Anolis sagrei: one gene and its partners. The protein of the gene in region 4 purifies or fractionates together with the protein of the main gene of each other region. This does not show direct contact. Links are inferred from orthologs where the notes say so. Each region holds a gene or a part of one and is shown on either strand. Other genes may lie near its edges.

What was found.
Region 1: the proteins of OTUD5 (region 4) and CTPS2 purify together in Homo sapiens (affinity purification with mass spectrometry; 3 studies listed by BioGRID and IntAct, with this or other methods). This does not show direct contact. The link is inferred for Anolis sagrei from reciprocal best matches to the Homo sapiens genes OTUD5 and CTPS2.
Region 2: the proteins of OTUD5 (region 4) and DNAJA1 purify together in Homo sapiens (affinity purification with mass spectrometry, with the first as the bait; 3 studies listed by BioGRID). This does not show direct contact. The link is inferred for Anolis sagrei from reciprocal best matches to the Homo sapiens genes OTUD5 and DNAJA1.
Region 3: the proteins of OTUD5 (region 4) and RUVBL1 purify together in Homo sapiens (affinity purification with mass spectrometry, with the first as the bait; 3 studies listed by BioGRID). This does not show direct contact. The link is inferred for Anolis sagrei from reciprocal best matches to the Homo sapiens genes OTUD5 and RUVBL1.

What each region holds. Positions count from the first base shown.
Region 1 is NC_090023.1:90,167,767-90,175,216, reverse strand, and holds the start of CTPS2 (CTP synthase 2), read right to left. Parts: upstream 3,021-7,450; 5' UTR 2,968-3,020; coding exon 2,807-2,967; intron 1-2,806. Other genes in the region: TXLNG (gamma-taxilin), read left to right, coding at 3,201-3,308. UniProt on the Homo sapiens protein: Catalyzes the ATP-dependent amination of UTP to CTP with either L-glutamine or ammonia as the source of nitrogen. Constitutes the rate-limiting enzyme in the synthesis of cytosine nucleotides.
Region 2 is NC_090022.1:150,548,876-150,556,481, forward strand, and holds the start of DNAJA1 (dnaJ homolog subfamily A member 1), read right to left. Parts: upstream 3,019-7,606; 5' UTR 2,824-3,018; intron 1-2,823.
Region 3 is NC_090022.1:55,532,640-55,540,573, forward strand, and holds the start of RUVBL1 (ruvB-like 1), read right to left. Parts: upstream 3,018-7,934; 5' UTR 2,924-3,017; coding exon 2,783-2,923; intron 1-2,782. UniProt on the Homo sapiens protein: Possesses single-stranded DNA-stimulated ATPase and ATP-dependent DNA helicase (3' to 5') activity; hexamerization is thought to be critical for ATP hydrolysis and adjacent subunits in the ring-like structure contribute to the ATPase activity.
Region 4 is NC_090022.1:178,620,041-178,627,699, forward strand, and holds the start of OTUD5 (OTU domain-containing protein 5), read right to left. Parts: upstream 3,008-7,659; 5' UTR 2,415-3,007; coding exon 1,818-2,414; intron 1-1,817. UniProt on the Homo sapiens protein: Deubiquitinating enzyme that functions as a negative regulator of the innate immune system. Has peptidase activity towards 'Lys-48'- and 'Lys-63'-linked polyubiquitin chains. Can also cleave 'Lys-11'-linked ubiquitin chains (in vitro).

The DNA of each region.
Region 1 (7,450 bases), on a different chromosome or scaffold from region 4:
TGAATTAGTTCAAAGGCACTTGGAACATCTGGTACTTTTCCCGTACCATAAAAGCAAAGGGATGCTTTTCAGCACCTTCAGCCAGGAGTAAAACAGCTTATTTGGTTTAATAATTGGTGTAAACCCAACTCAACCTTATTTATTGGCAGGTAAGACAGAACCAAATAGTTCTGTACCCTGAATCATGAATAATGTTGGACATAGTTGTCCCAGTTCTCTTAGCTTAGGTCCTTTTGTAGTATGGATCCTGTCAAATGTATGGTTCAGTTAACTCCCACCAGATGAATTTGTTTCTAGAAGCAGGTTGAAATGACTTGAGTCCCGTCCGAGGTTAGAAAAGCCGGGGGGGGGGGGGGGGGTCACTGGAATTCAACAAGTGACTTGAAGGCACACATTATAATTACAATATATTTACTTTCAATGGTAACAGTATGCATTATGTGCTCAATTTCCGGTATTTTGTACAATGGGGAAATGCTTCATAATTTAAGGCAGACAATTCAGCAAATGTAGTGGAGTTGTGCCACAAACATCCGTATAAAACTGGGCATGAACTTTTTTTAGAAGGCAATGACAAATATGTCTGAAAGATCTAAGAGGTGCTTTACTTAACAAGAAATTTAAAAACAACTTGCGTTCTTTGCCCTGAATGTACGAGTACTAGAAGCCAATAGAATGTATTGCTTAATACATATCGGGATGACAACAGAGGAATGGGGATTTGGGATGTCAAATGAATACATTTTGACCCCAATGCCATGACTCGGTGCTCTTGAATCCTAGGAGTTGTAGTTCCACAAGATCTTTAGCTTTCCCTGCCAAAGAGTGGTGGTACTTCACCAAACTACAAATCTCAGGATTCCAGAGACTGAGCCATGGCAGTTCAAATGGTGTAAAAGTGCATTAAGTTGACAGTGTAGATGCATCTGTTAAGGCAATGGTTCCCAATCTGTAGTCCATAGACCACCAGTGGTCCACAAGAATTAAAATATGGTCCGTGGCCTCACCATTACTATACTGTTGCAATGAGAGCGAGACTGGTCTCACGAAACCCTCTTATAGTGCCAAGGCTTATTAAGTACTGTTTTCTTTGAAATGCAATTCAAAGTACTTTGAATGTAATTTTCCTGCTTCTTGGCGGGGGGTTGGACAGGGTGGCCCACAAGGTCTCTTCCAACTATGATTCTATAATTCTGTGGGCAAGCAGATGGCCACTACTGGATGGCATATGCTCTGTATCAGAAACTAGAGCTGATGTGGTCTATCCAATGCAATTTTCTGAATCAGCACCCTAAATAACCAAACGAAAAGTTGACCAAAAACTGATTCGTAACCCTTTTGGTACTAATGTCTGGACCATCCTCCAAAAATCGAGTGCCCTAACAAATTTGTGAACATCCTGCGGCTCCTCCATGATGACAACGATTTTGGACAACAATGGCTCCCAGAGTGGCCCATTTAAGGTGGAATCAGATGTCAAACAGGGATGTGTTATTGCCCCAACTTTATTTTCCATCTTCATCGCTATGATACTTCATCTTGTTGACAGGAAGCTTCCCACCGGTGTTGAAATCACATATCAGACAGATGGTAAGCTATTTAACCTCAGCAGACTGAAAGCCAAAACTAAGGTTACAACAACATCTGTTATAGAACTTCAATATGCTGATGACATTGTCTGTGCACATCCAGAAGTCTACCTACAAACCACTCTAAACACCTTCGCAGAAGCATACGAGAAGCTCGGCCTGTCATTGAACATCGAGAAAACCGAAGTTTTCCAGCAGTCACCAGCCAATCCTTCTCCAATGCCAGAAATACAGCTTAATGGTGTAACATTAGGAAATGTTGATCATTTCTGCTACCTTGGCAGCCACCTCTCCAAAAAAGTCAACATTGACACTGAAATACAACACCGCCTGAGCTCTGTGAGTGCAGCTTTTTTCCGAACGAAGCAGAGAGTGTTTGAGGACCGGGACATCCGTAGGGATACCAAGGTGCTTGTTTATAAAGCTATTGTCCTCCCAACCCTGCTATATGCCTGTGAAATGTGGACTGTCTACAGACGTCACATGCAACTCTGGGAATGATTCCATCAGTGCTGCCTCTGGAAAATCCTGCAAATCTCTTGGGAAGACAAGTGGAAAACATCAGCATGCTGGAAGAAGCAAAGACCACCAGCACTGAAGTGATGGTCCTCTGCAATCAACATGTCCGAATGCCCAACCACCGTCTCCTAAAGCAGTTGCTCTACTCCGAACTCAAGAACAGAAAACGGAATGTTGGAGGACAGAAAAAGAGATTTAAAGATGGGCTCAAAGCCAACCTTAAAAACTGGCACAGACACAGAGAACTGGAAAGCCCTGGCCCTTGAGCGCTCCACCTGGAGGTCAGCTGTGACCAGTAGTGCTGAAGAATTTGAAGAGGCACAAATGGATGGCGAAAGACAGAAATGTGCCAAGAGGAAGGTGCGTCAAACCAACCCCGACCAGGACCGCTTCCCACCTGGAAACCGATGCCCTCACTGTGGGAGAAGATGCAGGTCAAGAATAGGGCTCCACAGTCGTCTACGGACCCACCCTGGAGGATTATCCTACTCGGACAACGAGGGATCGCCTAAGTATATAAAGTAAGGTACTAATGTTGGAGAGTGGTCCCTGGTCAAAAAAAGGTTGGGAACCACGGCTTTAGATAAAGCTCTTGTCTGGAACAACACACCAAAAAGTAGAGGTGAATATGCAGAGATCTCATCGAAAGCAGAGAGAATACAAGCTACGATGAGAAACCTCTCCGGAAAGAGACTCACCCTGGCTTGAACTCCTGTACTTTCCTGACAGAGCGGCTTAAGAGCAGCGGGCCCCTTGCAGCGCGAAGCATTTGCCTGCCGCCTCCGCGCGCCGAGAAAAGCGTACAGCCCTTAATAGGCTGCAACCTTCCCCATAGGGTGTCTCTCAAGTGAAAGGGCATGGGAGGTACATACAGAGAGAGAGAGAGGTGTCCCCATGTGCTTCTGCCGCAAGGGATGCTGGGGGGAGTAGTTCTCAATGGCTGAGGTGTGAGCCGGTTGGTCCTTTGGCGTCACGTGGCAAGAGAAAGCGCGCCCCGTGATTGGCTAGAGGGAAGAAGAGGAGGCGGGGAATGTGGCGGCGGAGGAGGGCTTCCGGTGCGGGCCGGCTTGTTTTGGCTCCTGCCGTCACAGTATGGCGGCGCGCGGCGGAGAGGCTCCTCAGGACCTGCCAGAGGGAGGGAGGCGCAGCGGGGAGGCGGAGGCGGCCTTGGCCTCGGACGGAGCCCGCGGAGGTCCTGAGGTAAGAGCCCGGCGGGTTTGTCTTCGCGGCTGGGCGAGGGAAGGAAGGAGGGAGGGGAGAGGAGGCTCCGCTCCACGCGGCCGCGAGGGAAGCGGGCTCCGGCGCCTGAGGCCATTCCGTCCCGCCGCCTCCTCCTCTTCCTCGTCCCATCGTGGTCCTTAATACCACCATCCAACCTATATGTCGTTTTGCAGGAACACCACGAAACACAGCAAGGACGCCTCTAGCTCACGCATGAGCAAACTTCGGCCCTCCAGGTGTTTTGGACTTCAACTCCCACAATTCCTAACAGCCGCTAGGCTGTTAGGAATTGTGGGAGTTGGAGTCCAAAACACCTGGAGGGCCGAAGTTTGCCCATGTAAGGCACAAATGTAACTTGTGTTGCATTGCAAGCCCTACTGGCCGCATAAAATGACATGCCTTTGACGTGCACGATCTAAAATATCATTGTAGAGGCCTACAGACACAAAGGGAAGGAGGAAGAATAATTCACTATTGTACAAAAGCTGTGCTATAGTTGTGATAACTTGCAAAAAGAAGAAAAAACCCACAGTGTAATACAAAACACAACAGCCAAGGATATCGCACTCATTTTCACAACAGAATCATAGAGTAGGAAGAGACCATGTGGGCCATCTAGTACAACCCCCTTCCATACAGGAAAAGCACAAAATATCCCTGACAGATGGTCATCCAGTCTCTGTTTAAAGGTTTCCAAGGAAGGAGTTCCCACCTCATTCTGAGGCAGAGAGTTCCACTGTTGAACAGCATATACAGCAAGGAAGTTCTGCCTAATGTTCAGGTGGAATCTCATTTTCTGTAATTTGAACCCTAGTTCCACTTTCAAGGGCAGCAGAAAACAGGCCTGCACCCTCTTATGACACCCTTTCACATATTTACACATGGCTATTGTCTCCTCTCAACCTTTTCTTCTGCAGGCTGAACATACCCAGTTCTTTAAGACACTCCTCATAGGTCTCCAGAACTTTTATCATTTTAGTCGCCTCCTCTGGACACCTTCCAGCTTGTCAATATCTCTTTTGAATGGTGGTGCCCAGAATTGGATACAGTATTCCAGGTGAAGTCTATCCAAAGCAGAATAGAAGGTACCATGACTTCCCTCAATCTAGACCAATGGTTCTCAACCTGTGGGTCCCCAGATGTTTTGGTCTTCAACTCCCAGAAATCCTAACAGATAGTAAACTGACTAGGATTTCTGGGAGGCCAAAACACCTGGGGACCCACATATTGAGAATCACTGATCTAGACACTATACTCCTTTTGATGCAGCCTAAAATCCATTTGGTGTTTTTAGCTGCTGCATCACACTGTTGGCTCATGTTCAACTTGTTGTCCAGGAAGACTCCAAGATCTTTTTCACCTTGACTGTTGTTGAGCCAGGCATCACCCATCCAGTATCTTTGCATTCCATTTTTTCTGCCAAAGTGTAGTATCTTACATTTGACCTTGTCGAAAACAATAATCAAAATAAGAAGGCCGCAAAACAAAAATAAAGTGCTATCATTTTACCAACCAAAGCCAGGCCTGCCATTCTTTTGGAACAGGGACTAAGAGTGCATCTACACTGTAACATTAATGCAGTTTGGTACTATTTAAACTGCCATGCTGTAGAATCCCAGGAGTTATCGTTATTGCAAGGTTTGCTGCTTTCTCCGCCTCACCAAACTGTAATTCCCAGGACTTCATAGCATTGAGCCTTGGTAGTTAAAGTGATTTCATACTACGCTAACGTGACAGTGCAGATGCACTCAAGAGTGTTTTAATGCACGAGCAAATGAAGAATGCCAAATCCTACTCTGCAGCAGAACCTAGAAAAGAAGGGAAAGGACATAGCTGTCTGTCCTCATGCCAGAAAGCTCCTTAGAATATGGTTGGCAACACTGTGCTGCTTTTGGGGATTCCTCATAGTTCTTTTCCAGTTCCTAATTAAATTACCTGGGAAGGGTTAAAATGATGTTTATTGTTTATTCTTTGTATGGAATAATTGGGCTAAGAGGCTCCCTTTCCTCCTAACTGTTAAGTGTTAAGTACAGCCAGCTTTGGGATTTGGGGCACAGGACTCCCTTGAAAGTGAAAAACTACACACACACACACACAAAGAAGTAAGAAAGGCGCATGAAAGGATTTAGAATTGTCAGTGAATCTTGCTAGATTTCTAAAAAAAATATGAGTCTCAGGTTCTGCTCATTTTGATCTCTCTGTACAGTGGTCAGAATGCCCACAGGTACCACTCCAACTCCACAACTTTCTGTAGAGAAAGCAGGGTGGACAGCATGCGCCTACTGGGAAAGGCATGGAAGTAGTGTCCTGGTATGTTCAAGCACAAAGTGTTTCTATGTGCACATGGCCAAGGAATGTGCCTATCAAGGTCTTCCAGCATCAAAAGAAGTTGAGGAGCACATCTGCTCAGATGCTGATAACACAGTAGCTGCCTCCTTGAAAACACTTCCAGATCTGGAGGAAAAAAGGATTGGCTGTGCCATGCTCCTTTGGCTCATATGATGTCCAAAGGTCTCTGAGCAGGTTGCTTAGGCAATTGCAAAACTCCAGACTTTTTCTTAACATCTGAGGTTAACTACTAAGGAAATCCTAACTTAGCTTTATTATAAAAGTGGGCCCTTGATATCCCTGGGGTTTGGTTCCAGGACACAAACAACATTTGAAGGGACCCAAAATCCATGGGTTCTCAAGTCCCTTTAAATACAACGGCATAGTAAAATGGTGGCCCTTTTATGGCAAAATGTAAGATTTGCTTTTTGTAATGTCTTTTTTAAAATATTCAAGACATGGGTGGTGAACACATGACTAGAGAATCCATGGATACAGTGAGCCAACTACAGAAAAGGGAACACTGATTCATCATGATCATTATAAGACTATTTTGCTCATCAGTGTGAACAGAAACATTAATTACATGCTCAAATGTATTACAAGTTTTGGGAAAGTTAAGTACCATTGAAAATTAATAAATGTGAAACTCAAATGCCTGGCATTTTAGGTACAGAAGATATAAAGATGTGGAATCAGTAGGGACTCCAGTTTCTTACTACTTTTAAATGCTTGCTTTTTGTTTAAGGTATTTACATTCCATGTGCTCCAAGCAGTAGCTTATGACACTTTACTATATATAGAAATACAAATTAAGTAACCAAGTAATAATAATTTATTAATACCATATTATAGTCAGATGTGATCTTATGTAATACCAATAGATTAACACTTGCAAGAGTTTGGAAAATAGCCAAGAAATTTTGAAGGAACTCAGAAGAAGTGCTATCATAGAAATATTACCTCACCTGTAGTAAACATATACCATAGTTTAGCAAACAGGCCATCAAGAGTAAGGCCTCCAATAAATCCAAACAGGCAAGCTCCTGTGGAAGCAGGTTGGCAAAGTATGGTGAGATTCTATTACTGCTGAATTTATACAGGTTCTGCATTTAATTGCAATAAAGTTTTCTGTAGTTTTGGGTTCAGAGATAAGAAGTCAAGAACAGTTTCAGAGGAAGTCTTTGATCTTATAGTTGAGTTCTCTGGTGAATACATTTCTTTAGCTAGCTACAATAAGAGAAGTCCACAAGGCTATGCTTGTCAAAAAAAGTTCTTTATCTGATTAATAGTGGTGCAGAAGAAACAAAGCACTCCTGTAATCTCTTCTAGTCTTCTGTCAGTTGGGCCAACAAAGCACAAAATTGTTTTATGTGTGTGCTGACAAGTCACTTATTGACTTATGATGAGCCCATTAATTCCTTAGGGTTTTCTTTGGCAACAAATATTCAGAGGTGATTTTGTCAGTTTCTTCCCCTTTCACCTACACCACCTAGTATTTATTGGCAGTCTCCCGTCCAAGTAGAGATTGGGTTGTCCATGCTTAGCTTTCAATATCATGAGAGATCTGGTGCCTTTAAGCTGCACATAATATTTAATTGTGCAAAAATAGTGCAAAACTTTATCAAGAAATAATCTTCATGCTAGAATATTGAATAAAAGCACAGCTTTCACCCTTAACATTAATCAAAATAAATTAAAGGAAAGTTTGACATCAAGTAATTGCAATGATTAAAAAGAAAATAATGTGTTCGTTTGTATAATCTTAGAAATGAATTGCTAGTGTAAAGACA
Region 2 (7,606 bases), about 28 Mb from region 4:
AAAGGAATGCAAAATTTATGATGTCATGAGTTCAGCCCACTTCCTTATTTCCTCAAAGACTGTGCCCATAAAGAGACCTCTGGTGAGACCAAACTTGTATCTTCTTGCGCTGCCTCACTCTGCGCACCAATTACTCTGGATTATCTACACCAGAGCTTTCCAAACTGTTTAGTATGTCGGCTGTCATGTGTAGATGTGTAACGCAAACATAATGAGAAATGACATACAGTAAATCTTGGAAATGTATGTCATCTTACAAATCATATATACATTTTTAAAAATATACAAACAGAAGCTTTTCATGTGATATGTTGTGTCCCCCATACTTTCCTTTATTACAATATATGTGTGTGTCTTTATCTCCTTTTTTTTAACATTTTAATTGATTTTCAGAAAGAAACAAAAGCATACTACACCATAAAATACAAAGAAAACACAACACACAAAACAATCAATCATAACATAATCCAAATAAACTATAACTACAAAAACAATACTTCCTTCCTTTCGAGGTTGAAATTTTTCCTAAGTCTTCTTGCATCCCATTTAGGAAAAAGCAGAATCTTAAATCTTAAATAGCCAATACTTATTTTTATTCACAGAGATGACTTATTCCTTCAAGTATTTATCTACATTCTCCCACTTTTCAGCACCTTGCTTAGAGACCCCCCCCCCCTTCATTGTTCTAGTAAATTTGTCATTTCCATGGCTTCTCTTAATTTCAGTTGTCAATCATAGATTAGAAGGTACTCCCGTTATTTTCCACTTTTTTGCCAATACTATCCTTGCTGTTGTAATCACATACATGATGATAATCCTTACAGGTTTATTCATTTGTATTGTTATTATTTTATTATTATTATAGCCCGCTTTATCTCCACAAAGGGGATTCAAAGTGGCTTGAGCAGTAGTATTAGTACACAATTTAAAATGTACAAATATATACACATTAAAACAAAAACACAGGTAGCACTAAAAAAATACATTAAAATCCATAAAAACATATTCAAAGTTTAAAACCACAGCACCCCATAACTAAATCTTAAAAACCTTCTTTAAAAACCTGCCTGATTCAGAAGGTTTTAGCCTGCCACCAGAAGGACAGCAGGGAGGGGACCATTCTGGCTTCCCTAGGAAGAAGGGAGATCCAGAGTATTGAAGCACCCACCTACGGAGAAGGAAGGCCCACTCTCTCTGAGCTTCAGATGGAGGTGGGACTGAGGCCCCTTCCACACAGCTGAATAAAATCCCACATATATTCCCTGTTCTCAACTGGAATATATGGCAGCGTGGACTCAGATAACCCAATTCAAAGCACATATTGTGGGGTATTGTGCCTTGATAGTCTGGGTTATATAGCCATGTGGAAGGGCCCCGAGAGATGGGCCTCTCTTGAAGATCTCAAGGCTGGGGCAGATTCATACAAGGGTATGCAGCTGGCCAAATAGCCTGGACCTGAACTGTTTAGAGCTGTGGTTCTTAATCTGTGGGTTCCCAGGTGTTTTGGCCTACAACTCCCAGAAATCCTAACAGTTGGTAAACTAGCTGGGATTTCTGTGAGTTGTGGGCCAAAACACCTGAGGACCCACAGGTTGAGAACCACTGGTCTAGGGCTTTAAAGGTCTACATCTACCAGCACTTGCTGTTGTTGTCACATACATCAGGCATGGGAAACCTTTGGCCCTCCAGGTGTTTCAGACTTCAACCACCACCATTTCGAACAGCCATAAACTGCTAGGAATTTGGGAGTTGAAATACAGAACACCTGGAGGGCCAAAGATTGCCCATGCCTGCCATACATGATGATTCTCCTTGTAGGTTTATTGATTTGTACTCTTATCATGTTGAGAAGGTGCCTGTATTCTCTTCAACGGGATTGGTTTACCTCTAGTTAGCTATTAAAAACAGAACAACTGTGTTGCGAAATGATGCTGTGACTAAAGAAATGTTGGGAAAGCGGTGCTTCAGGCAAACCAAGTTTGCCCCTCATTGCTTCTCTTTCCAGCCCCACCTGATAATAGAGCCACTGGAGCCTCCGTGGAAAAAAACACCCCCTAACTCTTTTCTTGTGTCAAATAGCAATTAGAATAAGGGCCCTTCCACACAGCCATATGATCCAGAATACCAGTTCAAAGCAGATCTTGTGGGGTTTCCTGCCTTGATATCCTGGGTCCTGCAATACGGCTGTGTGGAAGGGCCCTGAGTCCACACTGCCATATATTCCAGTTCAAAGCAGACATTGTGAGGTTTCCTACCTTGATATCCTGGGTCCTGCAATATGGCTGCGTGGAAAGTACCCTGAGTCCACACTACCATATATTCCAATTCAAAGCAGAAAACGTGGGATTTTATTCAGCTGTGTGTGGAAGGCTCCCAACTTTACAAGGGGGGGGGGGTCTTCTTCCCCACAGACTGTTATGTAAAAGGGCCTCCCTCGCTCCATCACGTGACACAGAAGGGGCACCCACTGCAGTCCCATTTGCAGGGGTCCCTTGTGTGGAGGGCGCTGTCTCCCACTCCACGACTCCGCTTTCTTTCTCTCCCCCCCCCCTTCCCTCACCCACGAAGGCCCGACTTCCCTTCCCTTCTCCTTCCCTCCCTCCCGCCAAATCCCCTTCTCTGCCTTCTCTCAGAACCCGGAGTCAGCTGACCTAACCGTCGCGCGCTCCCCCCTCCCTCCCTCCCTCCCTCTCTCTCCCGCGCGCCCTCTCTTTGTGGAGAACTAGAGGAGGGGGGGGGAAGGTAGCTGAGGAGACCCCTCCCCCACCCCCAACCCCAACCCCACCCCCACCCCACCCGGCTTTTCCTTTGTCCCTCACTCACTCGCGCTTTCGACCCAAACGCAGGCTTACAATGAAAGCAGCCCTGTCTTCTCTTTCTCTATCTCTCTCTCTCTCTTCTAACAGCCGGCTCGAGCCTCCTCTCCTTCTTCCTTCTCCTTCTCGCGCTGACTTTTTCTGGAAAGTTCCGAGCCGGTCTCAGGCTAGGCTAGGCAGCATCCGGGGAGTTTCCTTTCCCTTTCAAGAAAGCCCCGCCCTCCTCTCCAGGCGCTGCTATTGGCCAGCTTTCTCGCAAACCGTGGCATACCCCCAATCATAAGCCTCCCTGGCCGTGACGTCGCCCGCCGGGGACTACAAATCCCGGCATGCCTCCTCTCCCCCGTGAATACCTTTCTTTGGCCCTGTCAGAAAGACTTCGACGTCCAGAATGCAACGCGCCTCACAAAGAAGTCTGGCTTCATTGCAGGTGGCGTGGTCTTATTAACAAGGGTAGTTTTACTCACCTTTCAGGCGAATCTAAGGGCTCTTCCATACAGCCATACAACATATTTATTTATTTACGACCAGCCGTTCCCTGCCACGCGTTGCTGTGGCCCACTCTGTATATATGTGTATATGTGATTTTGCACCTGCATTATAATTTTTTAATTTTTTTCCCTGTTTTATGTCTCTTCTGTGTTTTTCAGTGTTTTTTATGAGTATTGGTCACTTGTTGGCCTGATAAGTATATTGTGTCCAAATTTGGTGTCAATTCATCCAGTGATTTTTGAGTTATGTTAATCCCACAAACGAACATTACATTTTTATTTATATAGATATGTATATGCCGCCCTTCTCGCCCCGAAGGGGACTAAGAGCAGCTTGCTATATATTGTTGTTGTTGTTGTTCATTCGTTCAGTCGTCTCCGACTCTTCGTGACCTCATGGACCAGCCCACGCCAGAGGTCCCTGTCGGCCGTCACCACCCCCAGCTCCTTCAAGGTCAGTCCAGTCACTTCAAGGATGCCATCCATCCATCTTGCCCTTGGTCGGCCCCTCTTCCTTTTGCCTTCCACTTTCCCCAGCATAATTGTCTTCTCTAGGCTTTGCTGTCTCCTCATGATGTAGCCAAAATACTTCAACTTTGTCTCTAGTATCCTTCTCTCCAATGAGCAGTCGGGCTTTATTTCCTGGAGGATGGACTGGTTGGATCTTCTCACAGTCCAAGGCACTCTCAGAACTTTCCTCCAACACCACAGTTCAAAAGCATCGATCATCCTTCGCTCAGCCTTCCCGAAGGTCCAGCTCTCACATCCGTAGGTGACTACAGGGAATACCATGGCTTTGACTAGGCGGATCTTTGTTGCCAGTGTGATGTCTCTACTCTTTACTATTTTATCAAGATTGGACATTGCTCTCCTCCCAAGAAGTAAGTGTCTTCTGATTTCCTGGCCACAGTCTGCGTCTGCAGTAATCTGTCACGGCCTCCACATTTCCTCCCTCTATTTTCCAGTTGTCAATCATTCTTGTTGCCATAATCTTGTTGCAATATATATAGATATATATACACAATATATATATTATATTATTAGCATAGTACAATACCAGTATTATGGCCCCTGCCACACAACTATATAAAATCCACATTGAACTAGGTTATAGGGCAGTGTGGACTCAGGCCTCTTCCCCAGCAGAATAAAATCCCACATTATCTGCTTTGCACTGGGATATGTGGCAGTGTGGACTCCAGATAACCCACTAAAGCAGATATTGTGGGATTTTCTACCTTGATATTCTGGGTTATATGGCTGTGTGGAAGGGCCCCCAGAATATCAAAATCCCACAATAACTCCTTTGAACTGGGTTATCTGAGTCCACACTGCCATATAACCCACCCAGATCAAAGCAGACAATGTGGGATTTTATATAGCTGTATGCAAGGAGCCTAAGGTCCATACAATCCAGAATATCAACTCAGATGATCTACAATATCTGCTTTGAACTAAAATATCTGACACACTGTCATACACAATCATAGAGTTGGAAGAGACCTCATGGGCCATCCAGTCCAACCCCCTGCCAAGAAGCAGGAAAACTGCATTCAAAGCACCCACGACAGATGGCCATCCAGCCTCTGTTTAAAAAGCCTCCAAAGAAGGAGCCTCCACCACACAGAGAGTTCCACTGCTGAACGGCTCTCACAGTCAAGAAGTTCTTCCTAAATTTCAGATGGAATCTCCTTTCTTGTAGTTTGAAGCCATTGTTCCGCGACCTAGTCTCCATGGTAGCAGAAAACAAGCTTGCTCCCTCCTTCCTATGACCTCCGCTCACGTATTTATACATGGCTATCATGTCTCCTCTCAGCCTTCTCTTCTTCAGACTAAACATGCCCAGCTCTTTAAGCTGCTCCTTTAAGCCTGCTTGTTCTCCAGACCCTTGATCATTTAGTCACCCTCCTCTGGACACATTCCAGCTATATGTGTATTTTATACAACTATGTAGAATGAGCCTCAAATGTCTGCCGTTAAACGCCAAAATTCATTTTGGAGGCTCTTGCCTTTATTAGGCCAACCAGCAATATTTCCTACAATGTTGTTCATTCGTTCAGTCATTTCCAACTCTTCATGACCTCATGGACCATCCCACGCCAGAGCTCCCTGTCAGCCGTCACCACCCCCAGTTCCTTCAGAGTCAAGCCAGTCACTTCAAGGATGCCATCCATCCATCTTGCCCTTGGTCGGCCCCTCTTCTTTTTTCCTTCCATTTTCCCCAGCATCATTGTCTTCTCTAAGCTTTCCTGTCTCCTCATAATGTGGCCACAATACCTAAGAGTATTTTCTAATTTGGCATTTTCTTCCATACACACTACTCAGTGCATTTATATTCCAACTCATCCATTATCATAGTATAGTATTATTAATATTATATTTGTTTCTACCCAGCTTTATCTCTCCCAAAGGGGACTCAAAGTGGCTTGATATAAAAGCATTAGTACAGTACACAATTTCAAATATACAAATATTCAAATATTAAAACGGAATTAAATATAAACAGTATTAAAATTCACAATTAAAAACCATTCAGCATATTCAATAATTTTATTTAATAATTGTATTCAATACATAATATATTCCTAAGGCAGTAATATACTAATATTATATTCCCATAAACTAGCTTGGGTACCTGGCATTGCCTGGGTTATTTGAAAAAGTCAATTTTTAAGTTATACAAAGTGCATAAGGTTGTGGGTGAACTACAACTCACAGCATGCCAGGTTAACCCCGAAAATCTCCATCAGTACTTAACGTTTGTTATGTTGGGCAAGTTTACTCTAGATGCATCATCGGTGGGGTTCAGTGTGCTCTCTGGCTGCAGCATAAACTACACCTCCCACTATGGTGAGTCTGTACCCTCAAACCCCTCCAGTAGGTTGAGTTAGTCATGGGGGTTCTGTGTGTCAAGTTCAGGTCCATTATCGGTGGAGGTCACTATTTCTCTGGTTGTGGGTGAATGACATCTCCTAGAAAGGAAGGTCAGTTTCCCCCCCCCCCCCCCCCGCGCTCTCCCCACCTCTCCAATAATCAAATTTCGGCATATTGGGTATGTGCCAAGTTTGGTCCAGATCGATCAGTGTTTGGGTTCACTGTGCTCTCTGAATATAGGTGAACTACAACTCCCTCAAATCAATGTTAATTTTTCCCAAAGACCTCCAGTATTTTTATTTATTTTTTTGCTGGAAATGGGGGCTGTGTGTCAAGTTTTGTCCAATTCCATCTTTGGTGGAGTTCAGAGTGCTAACTGATTGCAGGTGAACTATAAATCCCGGTACCTACCAACTCCAAAATGGCTAGGCCAATTCCCCTCAAAACCCACCAGTATTCAAATCTGGGAATATAGGGTACGCATGCCAAGTCTGGTCCAGATCCAACTCCTATAAATCCCTCCAAAGACCTCCAGTATTTTTTGTTTGTTGTGAGGGTTCTGTGTGTCAAGTTAGTTCCAGGTCCGTCTGTAGTGGAGTTCAGAGTGCTCTTAGATTGCAGGTGAACTATACATCCCAGTACCTACAACTAATAACTCATGGTGAATTCTCCCCAGACCTCTCTAGTATGTTCAGTTGCTGATCAATTCCTCTGTTTGATGTGTGCCATAGAAAATAATAGGAAATAGTTAAGGGAGATGCAGTGGGCAGGGTCATGCAAATTCCATACCAATGGAGAGAGTAAGAAACACTGGGATGTCTCTGGAGGAAGAAACACGTAAACTCTAGAATGAAATTGTCCCCATATGAAAGCCTTCACTTGGGCGGTAGGCAGTATGGTGTTTGTGGAGGACATTGGCATGGCTCTTGTATATATTCACGGCACTCACTATAAACTGCAATGTAATTGAAGGGACGGCTTTTGGTGTCTCCTGAGTAGTGGGAGCTATAGCTGTTTGTGGAGTCAGGACTTGTCTGTGTAAGTGGACACCCCAGCCGAACACATATACATATTTTCACTTTTATTATGTGTATAGATAGAAGATAGAAGATGTTATTGTATTAACAGTGTGACTCAGGCCTAATTGGATCTGAGGTCCTTCTACACTGCCATTTAATCCAGTTTCCAAATCCAGATTATCTGCTTTGAATTTAATTGTATGGCAGTTAGTTCCAGGTCCATTGTTAGTGGAGTTCAGAGTGCTCTTAGATTGCAGGTGAACTATACATCCCAGTATCTACAACTCCTATCCAGCCTCAATTCTTTTGTTGAGTGAGATTCTGCACCGAAACAGACAAAACACTATTAATTCCAGTTGACCTGTGGCCAGTCTAGTTTTCATAACAAGCTCATTAAAATCTAGAT
Region 3 (7,934 bases), about 120 Mb from region 4:
TGTGATCATGATTAGTAATTCCATTATAAATTTGATAATTATTATTATATAAACCAGCTTTTATTATTTCCCAAATATACAATAATGCACAACTCCTTACTCAATATAAGCAAATAACAGCGAAAGTAATAAAAACGTATACCTCTCCAGTTGAAAAACTGTCTATAGAAATAGACAATTTATCCCGGCTTCTAAGGCTATTTGCAACACTCTGCAATGCTGGTTAACTGGCATAACTCCTCTCTGGCTAGGTGGTTATAGCAATGCTTAACTAATATAATGTATACAACTGAGCCACAATGGTGAAATAAGTTTATTTATTTTGTGTCAAAAGCATTGCATAAATGAGTATAAAACTGATAAAATAAAGGGAACACAAGCAGCTAAAAATTTAGACCAAAAACAGGCAACAGCAACTGTATTGTCTGTAGCTTTAAACAGTTCTTCCTCTGTGCATGTGGCAGGGCATTGTGGGCAAGCATACAGATGCGGAGTTGTTTGTTCTGCTCCACAACAGCAAAAGGTAGAGGATTGTTCTAGGTACTGCCATTTTGCCAGATTGTCTTTTGATCTCTCAACACCACTTCTGAGTCTCTTCAGGGACTTCCAAGTTGCCCATTCTTGGTTTGCCCCTGGAGGAAGATCCTCGTAGGGGGCTATCGAGTTGGAATAGCCCAATTTTTCTGCCCACAGGGATATTCAACAGTGAAATAAGTTAAAACTTCTATAAGAAGCTAGACTTGTTATATGGAGCATACATATATGAAAATGTGCCTAGAATGGGATATGAGTATGTAACTACACAAGTTACTTGATTTATTGTATACTGCAAATCACTTCTGGTGTGAGAGAATCAGCCATCTGTAAAGACGTTGCCCAGGGAATGCCTGGATGTATTACCACCCACATTATCACAAGATGTCTACGCCCTTTACTACTGGAAACATTGTACTGTTTAGCCAGTATTGTACCACCTGATAACCTTCAGGAAGTAGCAACCAGTAATGAAAGGACCAAGGCATTGACATCTTCGGCCCATCCTCTGTACAGATACCAGCCAGCATGCCAATATCTTAAATAAAGAAATAGCCTCCTAAGACCTACAGAGATATGCGTAGGACAGTGATGGGCAACCTTTCGAGTTTGGTGTGTCAATACTCGCCAAAAAACCGAGCATAACTCGAGTGGGGTGTCACTTCGAGAATAACCCATAATTTCATGATATTTATAGTTTAATAACAAAAATATATTATTGTAATATATAACTGTATTTAATAAACCAAAAACTAATTATTTAAGTTACCTGCTTTTTCTATAATGCCATATATCTCGGCATCATAGAAAAATGCTGGTGTAGGAGCCGAGGATTAAATGTCTTCTCTGTATGCTGCCGCATATCATCGAAAATGGCTATGCGTGTCTGTGCTGACACACGTGTCATAGGTTCGCCATCATGGGCGTAGGAACACTTCGGCAAGTGAGAATCCAAAAGTGGCAGGTAAAAATCTGGAACCTCAATCAGTGGCTGATTTTGTTGTTGTTGTTTATTCGTTCAGTCATTTCCAACTCTTCATGAGCTCATGGACCAGCCCACACCAGAGCTTCCTGTCGGCTGTGGCAACCCCCAAGTCCTTCAAGGTCAAACCAGTTACTTCAAGGATTTATTTATTTACGACATTTATATGCCACCCTTCTCACCCTGAAGAGGACTCAGAGCGGCTTACAAGGTGTATATATATACATACGATATATTATATTATTAGCAAAGTACAATATCAGTATTAAATATTACTATATTGTACTATACCACTATATTGTAATAGTAATATTACATGTAATATAAATATATAATTATAATATCATATTATTATTAGTATTATAAGGAGCCCCCGGTGGCGCAGTGGGTTAAGCCCCTGTGCTGGCAGGACTGAAGATCGATAGGTCATAGGTTTGAATCCGGGGAGAGGCGGATGAGCTCCCTCTATCACCTCCAGCTCCTCATGCGGGGGCATGAGAGAAGCCTCCCACAAGGATGATAAAAACATCAATTCATCTGGGCATTCCCTGGGCAACTTCCTTGCAGACGGCCAATTCTCTCACACCAGAAGCAACTTGCAGTTTCTCAAGTCGCTCCTGACACGACAAAAAAAAATAGTACTAGATTGCATTACATTATAACATTATAAATATTATACGTATATACAATATATTATATTACATTATGTTATATTATTAGAATAGCACAGGAGACAAGGTGGAACTGTCCCCTGGCCCCCTATCTCTTCACTCTGGCCCAGATGGATGCCATCCATCCATCTTGCCCATGGTTGACCTCTTTTCCTTTTTCCCCAGCATCATTATCTTCTCCAAGCTTTCCTGTCCTCTCATTACGTAGCCAAAGTACTTCAATTTTGCCTGTAATATTCTTCCTTTCAGTAAGCAGTCAGGCATTATTTCCTGGAGTATGGACTGATTCGATCTTCTTCCAGTCCAATAATTTTTCTCCAACACTACAGTTCAAAAGCATCTTCCTTCACTCAGGTTATGAGGAGTCTTGAATTTGTGGGTCTGGACCAGGCCTGGGCCAACTTGGGCCCTCCAGGAGTTTTGGACTTCAATTCCCACCATTCCTCAGCTTAAGCGGCTGAGGGGGAAAAGGAAAGGGCCTGAGGCTGTGAGGAATGGTGGGAATTGAAGTCCAAAACTCCTGGAGGGCCCAAGTTGGCCCAGGCCTGTTCAGTCCCTTCAAAGGGGCCTCCCTCTTGGCCTGAGGCCTTCTCACCTCCCTGGCGTTCTCCTGCCCGACCAGCCCCGCCGCCGCTGCCTTGGCCGCGCCGCCCTCGTCCAGGCCCAGGCCCTTGACATGGCTGTGGGCGGCGATGCGCTGCGTCTTCGAGGTGCTCTTCACCTCCTCGATCTTCATCCTCGACGCCTCTCTCTTCGCCTCCGCCCCACGCGCTGCTCACAAGCAAATGTGCCGCGCGTTACCAAGGCTCCCGGCGCTCGAGTTCCGTATCCCCGCCCCCTCCGAATCATTGGCTGCTGGCAGAGGATTCTCCCTGGCCATTGGACGAGACCGCTGTCACTCAGTTCAAGCCCCGCCTACAGAAGTTGACTTGGTGCGGCGTAGAAAGATCTCCGGTGTCACCCTGGCACTGAGGGAGGAAGGTACCGCGCGAGGAGATCATTTAGCATTGGGCCTTTTGAGGGTGGCTCAGCACAAGAATTAGGGCGTTGTACTTTTATCTTCTAATCAAGGTGAAAGAAGAAAGGGCAAAAGCTGGGTTGCATCAAAAAACCAAGATTATGGTAACAAGAATGATTGACAACTGGGAAATAGAAGGAGAAAACGTGGAGGCCGTGACAGACTTTGTATTTCTAGGTGCAAAGATGACTGCAGACGCAGACTGCAGACAGAAAATCAGGAGACACTTACTTCTTGGGAGGAGAGCAATGACTAATCTTGATAAAATAGTGAGGAGTAGAGACATCACACTGGCAACGAAGATCCGCATAGTTAAAGCAATGGTATTCCCCATAGTCAACTATGGATATGAGAGCTGGGTCACAAGGAATGCTGAGCAAAGGAAGATCGATGCTTTTGAGCTGTGGTGTTGGAGGAAAGTTCTGAGAGTGCCTTGGACAGCGAGAAGATCCAACCAGTCCATACTTCAGGAAATAAAGCCCGATTTCTCATTGCAGGGAAGGATAGTAGAGGCCAAGATGAAGTACTTTGACCACATCATGGGAAGAAAGGAAAGCTTAGAGAAGACAATTATGCTGGGGAAAATGGAAGGAAAAAGGAAGAGGGGCCGACCAAGGGCAAGATGGATGGATGCAATCCTTGAAGTGACTGGATTGACCTTGAAGGAACTGGGAGTGGTGACGACCGACAGGGAGCTCTGGCGTGGGCTGGTCCATGAAGTCACGAAGAGTCGGAAATGACTGAACAAATGAACAACTTTTACCAAGCTTAGAGCCAAAAAATGCTCGTGGGCCATCCAGTTCAACCCCTTTCTGTCAAGAAGCAGGAAAATCACATTCAAATCAACCTAGACAGATGGCCATCCAGCCTCTGCATAAAAGCCTCCAACACACTCTGGGGCAGAGAGTTCCACTGCTGAACAGCTCTCTGGAAGTTCTTCCTAATGTTTAGGTGGAATATCTTTCCCTGTAGTTTGAAGCCTTCCCCATCATACACCACAAAACAATACACCAATCCCTCCACACCCCAACCACCACCACACTGCCCCCAATGCCACATCAGTGTGAAACTATTGAGTTCAACATAGCCACAGCTCTAGGAAAAAAGCTATCTCTCAGTCTGCTTCTCCTTGTCTTTGTCACCCTGTACCATCTGCAAGATGGCAATAATTAAAAAAAAAATGACAGGTGAAATGGATCCCCAAGAATGTTCTGAACTTTCTTAAAGCAACAGGACTTATAAAGGTCTTCCAAACAGGGGAAAGAGCAATTAATGATTCTCTGTGCAGAAGTGGTGATCCTTTAGAGTGCCTTCGTGTCTGCCACTGTGCAGTTACCAAACCATGCTGAATAGCTCTCACAGTCAGAAAGTTCTTCCTCATGTTCAGGTGGAATTGCCTTTCCTGTCATTTGAAACCATTGTTCTGCGTCCTAGTCTCCAGGGCAGCGGAAAACAAGCTTGCTCCCTCCTCCCTAAGACTTCCCCTCACATACTTACACATGGTCTCCTTTCAGCCTTCTCGTCTTCAGGCTTGTCAATACCTATTGGTTTTAACTAGTTTTTGCCTCCGCAGTGCAATACATTTTTAAACCCAATACAATTTTTTAACTGTGTATTTCTTGTGATATTGTTTTAAAAATTTTCATTTATGAGGTTGTTGTTTATTCATTCAGTCGCTTCTGACTCTTTATGACCTCATGGACCAGCCCACACCAGAGCTCCCTGACAGCCCATCATCACCCCCAGCTCCTTCAAGGTCAAACCAGTCACTTCAAGGATACCATCCATCCATCTTGTCCTTGGTTGGCCCCTCTTCCTTTTTCCTTCCTTTTCCCCCAGCATCATCTTCTCCAAGCTTTCCTGTCTTCTCATTATGTTTATGAGTATTGGTTATATATTGTGTCTTGTCTTTTTAGTTTCTGCTTATGTATGTATTGTGACTTGATTCCGTTGTGAGCCGCCCCGAGTCCTTGTGGGGAGGGGTGGGATATAAATAAAATTCATTATTATTATTATTATTATTATTATTATTATTCATCTGGTGTTAAAATTCAGTGACTAGATATAGTTGACAAGTTAGCAAATAATAAAAAATGTCAGCATAGCTGGATCCTATAAACAGCACATCCCATGTGATGCTGCATATTTCTGGAGCAGCCAATACAAATTGGGTATCCCTTATCCAAAATCCTTATGACCAAAAGTATTTTGGATTCATATTTATAATGGAACACACACGCGCACGCACACACACACATCATGATATGTCTTGGAGGTGGGAACCAATCAAAATATAAAATTGATTATATATACACTGTACACATAGCCTCTTGGTACATAATATCTAATAATTTTGTGAATCAAACAAAAGTGTATGCACATTGAACTATTAGAAAGCAAAGATGTCAGTTTCTCACATCCATGTGAACAATTTTTTAATTTTGGAGTATTGTATTTCAGATTTTCAGATAATGGATGTTGAACCTGTATGTTGCTTTAGGCCTTCTCCATGGAAGTGGATGGTTGTTTCCCATAACAAAGGACTGAGGTTATTCAGACCAAGCTGCCCACTGACATAGCTGATCAGAAAAACTAGTTCACGAGACTCAATGCTGCAAGCAGTACAACAATCTTGTGCCATACTTCTAGTAGACATGGCCTTGTTGATCTGTTTCTATATTAAAAGTTATAAATTAAGACATAAAAACTCCACCCATCAAATTGAAAAGTACACTATGAATATATCCTGAATACATTGCATGTAAATCATCTTGTTTTGTTCATTGTTTTCATTTGTTCATTGTCTTGAAGTGATTTAGCCAGGACCACAGATAGGAGGATTTGTGCCCGATGAGGGTATGCTAAACCAAAAAAGCCAGGACAGAGAAAACAACTCATCAGGTTGAAGATAAGCCACAGAGATTTATTACAATTCAGCCAGAAGGGATGCAGGTACAAGTAATTTGCTTTAAAATGTACAAGCATAAACATGCGGGGAATGTAAGACATCTTATACAATTCTGACAGCCATTCAAACCTCCCGCCACCTCCTCTAATTGGCCAGAAAAGAGGATGGCTCTTTTCCCTGCTGGGATTGATCGAAAGCTCTGCTGACATCACAGCTTCCAGGCAGGGATTTGCTTGTCGGGGAGGATGGCAGCCGGAGATTGGTCAGAGTGAAGAACCAATCAGCTGCAGAGGGAGCGATCTTGGAGAAGATAATACCAATTATATGTTAATGAATTTTTGAGTAGCTCAATTGTTCAGTTCCATGTTAAACGAAGATATGGAGCTCCAGAAATAAAGGTGTGAGACTCGGAGGACAAAGGTGCCAGTCCTAGGCAAGCAAGGGCTTGGCTGTCAACAATGGAGTTAATGAAAGTTCACACTTTAAGCTCCTGTTCCCATGACGGAGCACCAGGCTCTCAACCTCAGGTGAATTACACCAACATCTGGCTTATGTTGCTGGCAGGGGAAATCACCTTTCTGTACATAATGAGCCTGATGATTATCTGGCTTGGGAAATAGCCAGAGGGATTTGCCCAACCTTCCTATTCTCAGGGGATTATCTCAGAGGGTGTCTGTCTCCGGGCTGCATTTTGATACATTTCTACAAGGTAATTTATACATTTTATACAGGAAAGAGATACAGTATATGGCTAAAAGATACAAGTTACACAACAATAATAAAATAAATACAATTTATTAAAGGGTTAGATATGATATATTTAATAGGAGTACGGCTGCTGCTGGATCTGTTCTCAATCTTCTGAAGTCCTGAACTTGTGCTATTCTGGACCTCTGGAAACGACCTTTTTTAATAAAGAAGGAAAAATCATATATTGGTCCTTGGTGAACTATAAAGCATTGGGGTGGGGAGGGGGTTACCATGGCTTGATAACAGTCCAAGGAGCCCTTGTGGGCTGTAAGGTGCTTACATTTCTTTAAATATATATATATACAGTAACAATTATAAACTTGTTGTTGTTGTTCACTCGTTCAGTCGTCTCCGACTCTTCGTGACCTCATGGACCAGCCCACGCCAGAGCTCCCTGTCGGCCGTTACCACCCCCAGCTCCCTCAAGGTCAGTCCAGTCACTTCAAGGATGCCATCCATCCATCTTGCCCTTGGTCGGCCCCTCTTCCTTTTGCCTTCCACTTTTGCCTTCCACTTTCCCCAGCATAAATTATTTCCCCAGCATAATTATAAACTTATACTTGTATTTAAAGATATAATAGAATCTTGTTAATAGCTTGGTGACTGAGAAAAATACCTATTACAAACCTTTCTGAATGAAGTAGACTGCAACCAATGAAAGCTTATTCTGGGATTTTCTTTCTGTTCTCCATGTTGGAAGGTTGAGTATTCCTTTATATTTTTGAATACAGCAAGCCCTCAGTATCCACAGGTTCTGCTTCAACAGAATCAACCAATCAAGCATTGAAATATATATATATATACACACACACATATGCATACACACATACCCAAAGCAAAGCTTGATTTCGCCGCATATTGAATACTACATTGATGAGTAGGCATGGCTTCCTGCCATTTCACAGTTTCTCATGCTTTCTGCAGTAGTCATTTGAGTTGTTTTCTGTAAGGGATGCCAGCATTTGGTATCCACTTTGGTATCCATTTTGGACCTGAAATCTTGGAGTCTGGGATAATTGTGACCTGACAAGCCTAGGCCCAATGTATCCTGCCATAGTGCAGTTTAATTGC
Region 4 (7,659 bases):
TTATTATTATTATTATTATGTGGATTTTATGTGGCAATGTGGAAGGGGTTAAAGCAGAAAATCCCACAAAATCCGCTCTGAACAGGATTATGAGTGCACACCGCCATATAATCTAGTTCAACGTGGATTTTATATGGCAGCGTGGAAGGGGTCTGAGGGTCCTTCCACACAGACATATAACCCGGAATATTAAAGCAGAAAGTCCCACAAAATCTGCTCTGATCAGGGATTATGAGTCCACACTGCCATATAATCCCCCTAGAGGGCTCCGGCCCAGTTTACCTGTCCAAACATATCTCCTTCTATGTCCCACCTCGGAGTCTAAGATCTTTGGGGGAGGCCCTACTCTCGGCCTCGCCTCTATCACAAGTGAGGCTGGTAGGGACGAGGGACAGGGCCTTCTCAGTGGTGGCCCCTCGCCTGTGGAACTCACTCCCTGGCGAAATTAGGTCATGAACATCCCTCCTCTCCTTTAGAAGGAAGCTGAAAACATGGATATGGGACCAGGCCTTTGGGTAATCTGGCAGACTGACAAGGTAATGACGACCAGAATTTGGAAAGGACTATGGTAATGCTGAATGGACTTACGGATACGTTGGCCACTAGATTGGCTTTTTAGTTGTTTATTTATTTATTTTATTTACGACATTTATATGCTGCCCTTCTCACCCCGAAGGGGACTCAGAGCGGCTTACAAGGTATATATACATACAGTATATTATTAACATAGTACAATATAAGTTTTAAATATTGCTATATTGCACTATATCAATTATACTGTAATATTATTAGTAATATTACATGTAAGATCAGTGTTTCTCAACCTGGGGATCGCGAAGGTGTGTCAGAGGGGTCGCCAAAGACCATCAAAAAACACAGTATTTTCTGTTAGTCATGGGGGTTCTGTGTGAGAACTTTGGCCCAATTCTATCATTGGTGGGGTTCAGAACACTCCTTGATTGTAGGTCAATTATAAATCCCAGCAAGCACAGCTCCCAAATTTCAAAGTCTATTTTCCCCAAACCCCATCAGTTTTCACATTTGGGCATATTGAGTATCTGTGCCAAGTCTGGTCCAGATCCATCACTGTTTGAGCCCACAGTGCTCTCTACATGTAGGCGAACTACAACTCCCAAACTCAAGGTCAATGGCCACCAAACACTTCCAGTATTTTCTGTTTGTCATGGGAGTTCTGTGTGCCAACTTTGGTTCAATTCCATTGTTGGTGAGGTTCAGAATGCTCTTTGTTCGCAGGTTAACTGTAAATCCCAGCAACTACATCTCCCAAATGACAAAATCAATCCCCCCGCCAACCCCACCAGGGTTCAAATTTGGGCATACCAGGTATTTGTGCCAAATTTGCTCCTGTGAATGAAAGTACATCCTGCAGATCATTATTTACATGGCAATTCATAATGTTAGGGTTATGACTGGGGGTCACCACAACATGAGGAATTAAGGGGTCGCGGCATTGGGAAGGTTGAGAACCACTGTGTAAGATAAATATATAATTGTTATTGTATTAATTGAATGTTTTAACTATTGTGGTTATTGTTGCTATGTATTTTATCTGTTGAATTGTTGGCATCGAATTGTGCCGGTTGTAAGCCACAATGAGTCCCCCCTAGGGGGCTGAGAAAGGTGGGGTAGAAGTGAGCGAAAATAAATAAATAAATAGTTCAATGTGGATTTGATATGGCAGTGTGGAAGGGCCCTTAGCCTGGTGGGGCCACTAATCTCATTTGACAGGGCAGGGAGGGCGCAAGGCCCCACTCCTTCTCTTTGCAGGCACTGAGCCCCATCTCCTGAGGCGGTACCTGCTCCACGGTGGCCGGGTCCATGCTTTCGATGCGAGCGGCGGCCGTTTCGTACTCGTCCTCGCTGTTGTAGCCAGCGCCGGCCTCGTCCTGCTCGGGGCTGTTGCCTCCGCCGCCGCCTCCTCCAGGCCCCGAGGGTCCCCCAAGGCCTCCTGCGGGCCCGCCGCGCCGCCGCCTCTTGCTGTGTCCAGGCCCCGAGCAGCAGCCCCCGCCTCCACCGCCTCGCGACTCGGCCACGCCGGGATCCAACAGGCCCGAGCCGTCCCCGCCGCCTCCACCACAGGGCCCCACGCCGGGGTTGGGCGGCGGCGGCGAGCCAGCGGCGGGGGGCAGCCCCCAACGAGGCGGCGGGGGTGGCGGCGAGGCTCGCGGCCTAGCTCCGCCGCGCTCCCCGGGCCCGCCGACGCCTCCGCCGCCGACGCCTACGCCGCTGGGGCCTCGAGGGTGGGAGTCCGCGCCGGAGCAGCCCCGCGGGTCCGGGCCCCCGACGCCGCCGGGTCCCCCAGGACCGCCCTGGCCGCCCCCTCGGGAGCCCGGCTGGTCCCTGTCTCCGTCGCCGGCGGCCGGGCAGGCCTTCTTCTTGGGCAGGATCGTCATGGCAACCGAGGGAGGGGGCAAGCAGAGGAGTCCCGAGCCGCGCGTGAGGGGCACAAGTCCCCGGATGGAGAGGCTAAGCAGTGACAGTTAACCCAAAGGCACTGGGGATGCAGGAGGAGGGGGTGAGGAAGGAAGGAAGGAAGGAAGTACCCGTATGGAAGGGAGTTTGGGGATTCCGGAGGAGAGGGGCGAAAGAGGCCCTCTCCCCTCCGCTGGGATGGAGAGCGGGGACCCGGATGGAGAGGCCCGGGACCCGGATGGAGGGCCCGCTGAGGAACCACTTCTTTGAGGAAGGGAAGGAATGCCCGGATGGCAGGCCCAATCACAACCGCATCGCGCCCCCCGCCAGGCGGGTCAAAAGAGGAAGCGGGCCCCGTCAGCCCCCAAGAGGCGCCGCTGTCCCTGCCGGACTTGCTTCCGCCAACTCTCGCCGCCACCGCCGCCGCCTCGTTCTTCCCTCACGACAGCTTTTCGGGCCTTGCGCGGCGTCCCGGCGGCGGCGGCGCCTACTACTCCACAGCTCCGGCCTAGTGTCAACATCAACACAGCCGGCCTCTGACCCCGGCGAACTCCACTTCCGTTTCCACGCCCCCCTTCCTCCTTAGCGACGGGGGAGGGCCCTGGCAACGGCGCCGCTCTCAAAGGCTGCTGCACGTGACTCCACGCTCAGTGGCTGAGCGGAGACGGAAGCCCCTCGCCGAGTGGCCAGCGGCGCTTGTCACTCAGGCGAGGCCCCGCCTCTTTTCTACATTCCCTCCTGCCACCCGATGCCATTGAAGGCAAGCGGCGGATTAGCATGCCGAAAGGGGCCTGGGAAGTGGATTCGAGGAGAGACGCTTCTCTGGTTTATGATTGGCTAATAGCGGAGGGCTGTTTCCGATTGGGTGAAAGCAATCCCTGGCGTTGATAGGCTGAGAGGCAGGTTCTTCGGGCTCCCTTCTGTACAGCCTCCCTCTGGTTTGAGGGCAAGCATTCAGATGCGGAGTGATTTGTTCTGCTCCACAAGGATTCTTGGGCAAATTTGGGGCCTTCAGGTGTTTTGGACTCCAATTCCCACAATTCCTCACAGTCTCAGCCTCTTTCCTTTCCCCCCTCTCCCAATTAAGGAAAAGGCCGCTTTTAAAAATCTATATTCTTCTCTCTTAATTTTTTAGCTAATATGTTATATGTAATATTTTTTATCTAATATGTTATATCTAGAAATAGTTTTCTAAGATCTACAGAGACACTCGCTGGAACACCTCAGCAAGCAAGAGTCCAAAAGTGGCAGGCTCAAACCCAGAACCTCAACCAATGGCTTTTTTTTTATCGTGTCATCGGCAACCATTGTATTACAATTCTAACAGAGCAAAACAAACACACAGATTAAAAAGAAAAAGGGGGGAAAAAAACACAGATTTTGCAAATTTGGTAGTTGATTAAATGTCCTTTGACCAGTATCTGGCCACTTGGAGTGCTTCCGGTGTTGCTGCAAGAAGGTCCTCCATTGTGCATGTGGCAGGGCTCAGGGTGCATTGCAGCAGGTGGTCAGTGGTTTGCTCTTCTCCACACTTGCATGCTGAGGATTCCACCCTGTAGCCCCATTTCTTAAGATTGGCTCTGCATCTCATGGTGCCAGAGCGCAGTCTGTTCAGCGCCTTCCAAGTCGCCCAGTCTTCTGAGTGCCCAGGGGGGAGTCTCTCATCTGGTATCACCCATGAATTGAGGTGCTGGGTTTGGGCCTGCCACTTTTGGACTCTCGCATTCTGGGGTGTTCCAGCGAGTGTCTCTGTAGATCTAAGAAAACTATGTCTTGATTTAAGTCATTGACGTGCTGGCTGATACCCAAACAGGGGATGAGCTGGAGATGTCTCTGCCTTGGTCCTTTCACTATTGGCTGATTCAACCAATGGCTGATACCAAATGAGAGACTCCCCTCTGGGCACACAGAGGACTAGGCGACTTGGAAGGCGCTGAACAGAATGCGCTCTGGCACCACAAGATGCAGAGCCAACCTTCAGAGATGGGGCTACAAAGTGGAATCCTCGACATGCGAGTGTGGAGAGGAGCAAACCACTGACCACCTGCTGCAATGCAACCTGAGCCCTGCCACATGCACAATGGAGGACCTTCTTGCAGCAACACCGGAAGCACTCCAAGTGGTCAGATACTGGTCAAAGGACATTTAATCAACTACCAAACTCACAAATTTTGTATTTTGTCTGTTTGTTTGCTTTGTTCTGTTAGAAATGTAATATAATTGACTGGTTGCCCTGACACGACAAATAAATCTGACAAATAAACATGAGGAAAGAAACTATATTGAGAGAATTTAGAGATATTAAACTCTCATGGTTCCATTGCTTACAGTTAGAGCAATGGTTCAAGAATTGGATAAAAAATAATGGGGAAGGTGGCAAATTCACGCAAGTTGAACAAATGATACAAAACGGAAGAGCTACGGGAAGATACCACAAGTTGAAAGGAATAACCAGCAAATTGTATAAGATAATAATTGATATTAAGGGGGGGAAAAAATAAAGGATGCAACATTAAGAGAGATATGGGAGGAAGACCTAGGGATTAGAATAAACGAAGTGGATTGGGTACAATTATGGGATCAAAGATATTTAAAGAATTTATCGATACATGTTAAAGAAAATTATTACAAATTGATGTGGAGCCCCCGGTGGCGAAGTGGGTTAAACCCCTGTGCCGGCAGGACTAAAGACCAACAGGTCGCAGGTTCGAAGAGGCGGTTCGAAGAGGCGAAGAGGGAGAGGCGGATGAGCTCCCTCTATCAGCTCCAGCCCCTCATGCGGGGACATGAGAGAAGCCTCCCAAAAGGATGATAAAAACATCAAATCATCCAGGCGTCCCCTGGGCAACGTCCTTGCAGACAGCCAATTCTCTCACACCAGAAGCGACTTGCAGTTTCTCAGGTCGTTCCTGACACGACAAAAAAACCCCCAACCTATTCAACTTGTATGCAGAACACATCATGCAATGTGCGGGGCTTGACGAATGCAAGGCTGGGGTGAAAATTGCTGGAAGAAACATTAACCTTATATATGCAGATGATACCACTTTGATGGCCAAAAGCAAGGAGGCGCTGAGGAACCTTCTAATCAAGGTGAAAGAAGAAAGCATAAAAGCTGAGTTGCAGTTAAACATCAAAAAAATCAAGATTATGGCAACGAGAATGATTGACAACTGGAAAATAGAGGGAGAAAACGTGGAGGCAGTGGCAGACTTTGTATTTCTAGGTGCAAAGATTACTGCAGATGCAGACTGCAGCCAGGAAATCAGGAGACGCTTACTTCTTGTGAGGAGAGCAATGGCCAATCTTGATAAAATAGTGAAGAGTAGAGACATCACACTGGCAACCAAGATCCGCATAGTTAAAGCAATGGCATTCCCCATAGTCACCTATGGATGTGAGACCATAGGGAGGGCTGAGTGAAGGAATATAGATGAATTGATCCAGTGTTCAATGTCTGAATCATTGTTATTTAAATCCTCTTTCCATATTTCTATTTCTTGTTTCAAATTATATCGAATTCCAACTAATCTCTTGTATATGAACCCCATCAGGCTTTTCTCCTTTTCTAGTTTCCACTTTAACATTTGATCAAAATCTGTTTCTGGGCCTTCCTTTTTCCTCCACGTCATGATTCTTTGTTTCAATCTATCCCAAAGGAGCCAGTTACATTGACCAAGTGCACCTACCTGCCTCCCCGGTCTCTGCAGAGCCACCAGAGCCATGCAGGCAGCAGCAGGCCAGGGAGGCAGGCCTTTCCCGCTGTGCCTCAGGCCAACGCACTTCAGGGGTCCCTGGCCTCCACTGGAAGTTAATATTTAATATTAATATTTTCAAAAACCCACAAAACAGCGAGTCTGCTAAAAGCGAACCGCAAAGTAGCGAGGGAATACTGTAGTTCCATTTTGCCAGGTTATCTTTTGATCTGTCCACGCCACTTCTGAGTCTGTCCAGGGACTTCCAAGTTGCCTGTTCTTATTTTGCCCTTGGACGAAGATCCTGGGATTTCCTGGTTTGGCTGCCCACAAGGATACTCTTGCTGTTGCTGGGGAAACATTTAGAGGAGTGGTGTTTCTTGTGAAACTTTTCCTTGGCCTTGAGGAGAAGACATTTGCTGTTGTGTCTGTCCCAAGCAGCAAACTGTCTTAGGCTAGGCCTGGGATGATCTAAATTTCCACCAGATAACAAAGTCTTTCGACTTTTGAAAAGCTGTAGTGTCCTCTTTATGGATTTGCATAGCCTTTAAGTGGGATGTTGTGGCACTTGATTTGACCCTACTGGGAAAAGGCTGATAACCATATTTTGTTATTTCTTTTGCAATTGGCAGCAACTTCCATTCTGGGGCTTTGGGGGTGGGGGGCAATGCCAGCTAGCTTATAAAGTCTTTCAACAGGTGTAGATTTGAGACATCCTGTGATTATTCTACATCAGTGGTTCTCAACCTGTGGGTCCCCAGATGTTTTTGGCCTTCAACTCCCAAAAATCCTAACAGCTGGTAAATTGGCTGGGATTTCTGGGAGTTGTAGGCCAAAACACCTGGGAACCCACAGGTTCAGAACAACTCATCAAGGCCTCCCATACATAAATCCATTCAAGATCTCTTTCCACTTCTGTCTTTGAGAACCACTGATCTACATGCTATATTCACTGCTATATTCACCTGCTTTGTATGGACACACTTATCCCAGACGGGGCAGGCATACTCGAGAGTTGAGTAAGACAATGCCAGGGCTCATGTTCTTATCAATTTTGGGTCTGCATCCCATGCACTACCTGTTATGTTTCCGCAGCTGCTTTGTGTTTGGTGTTCATACAGTGTTTCCTAAATGTTGGTGTTTGTTCTAAGGTGACGTTGAGATATTTATAATGTGAACAATCCCTCTGGTCAGAGTGGCTCCTTGGGGAACCTTGAGGGACTTAGGCCTCAATCTGTAGGTCTTTGCTCTGCTTTCTATATTTGTCTGTCAGTCTCCAAGTGTGTATGTATCTACTGTGTACACGTAACTCTCACACATGTTGTATCCAAACTAGAAACTAGTAATAAATATATTTGTCTCCCTGAGGGCCCTTCCACACAGCCGTATAACCCAGAATATCAAGGCATACACAATATCAGCTTTGAACTGGTTTATCTGAGTCCATACTGCAATATAATCCAGTTCCATGTGGATTTTATGCAGCTGAGTGGAAAGGGCCTTACTATTTCTGTACCGTATATATCTAGTG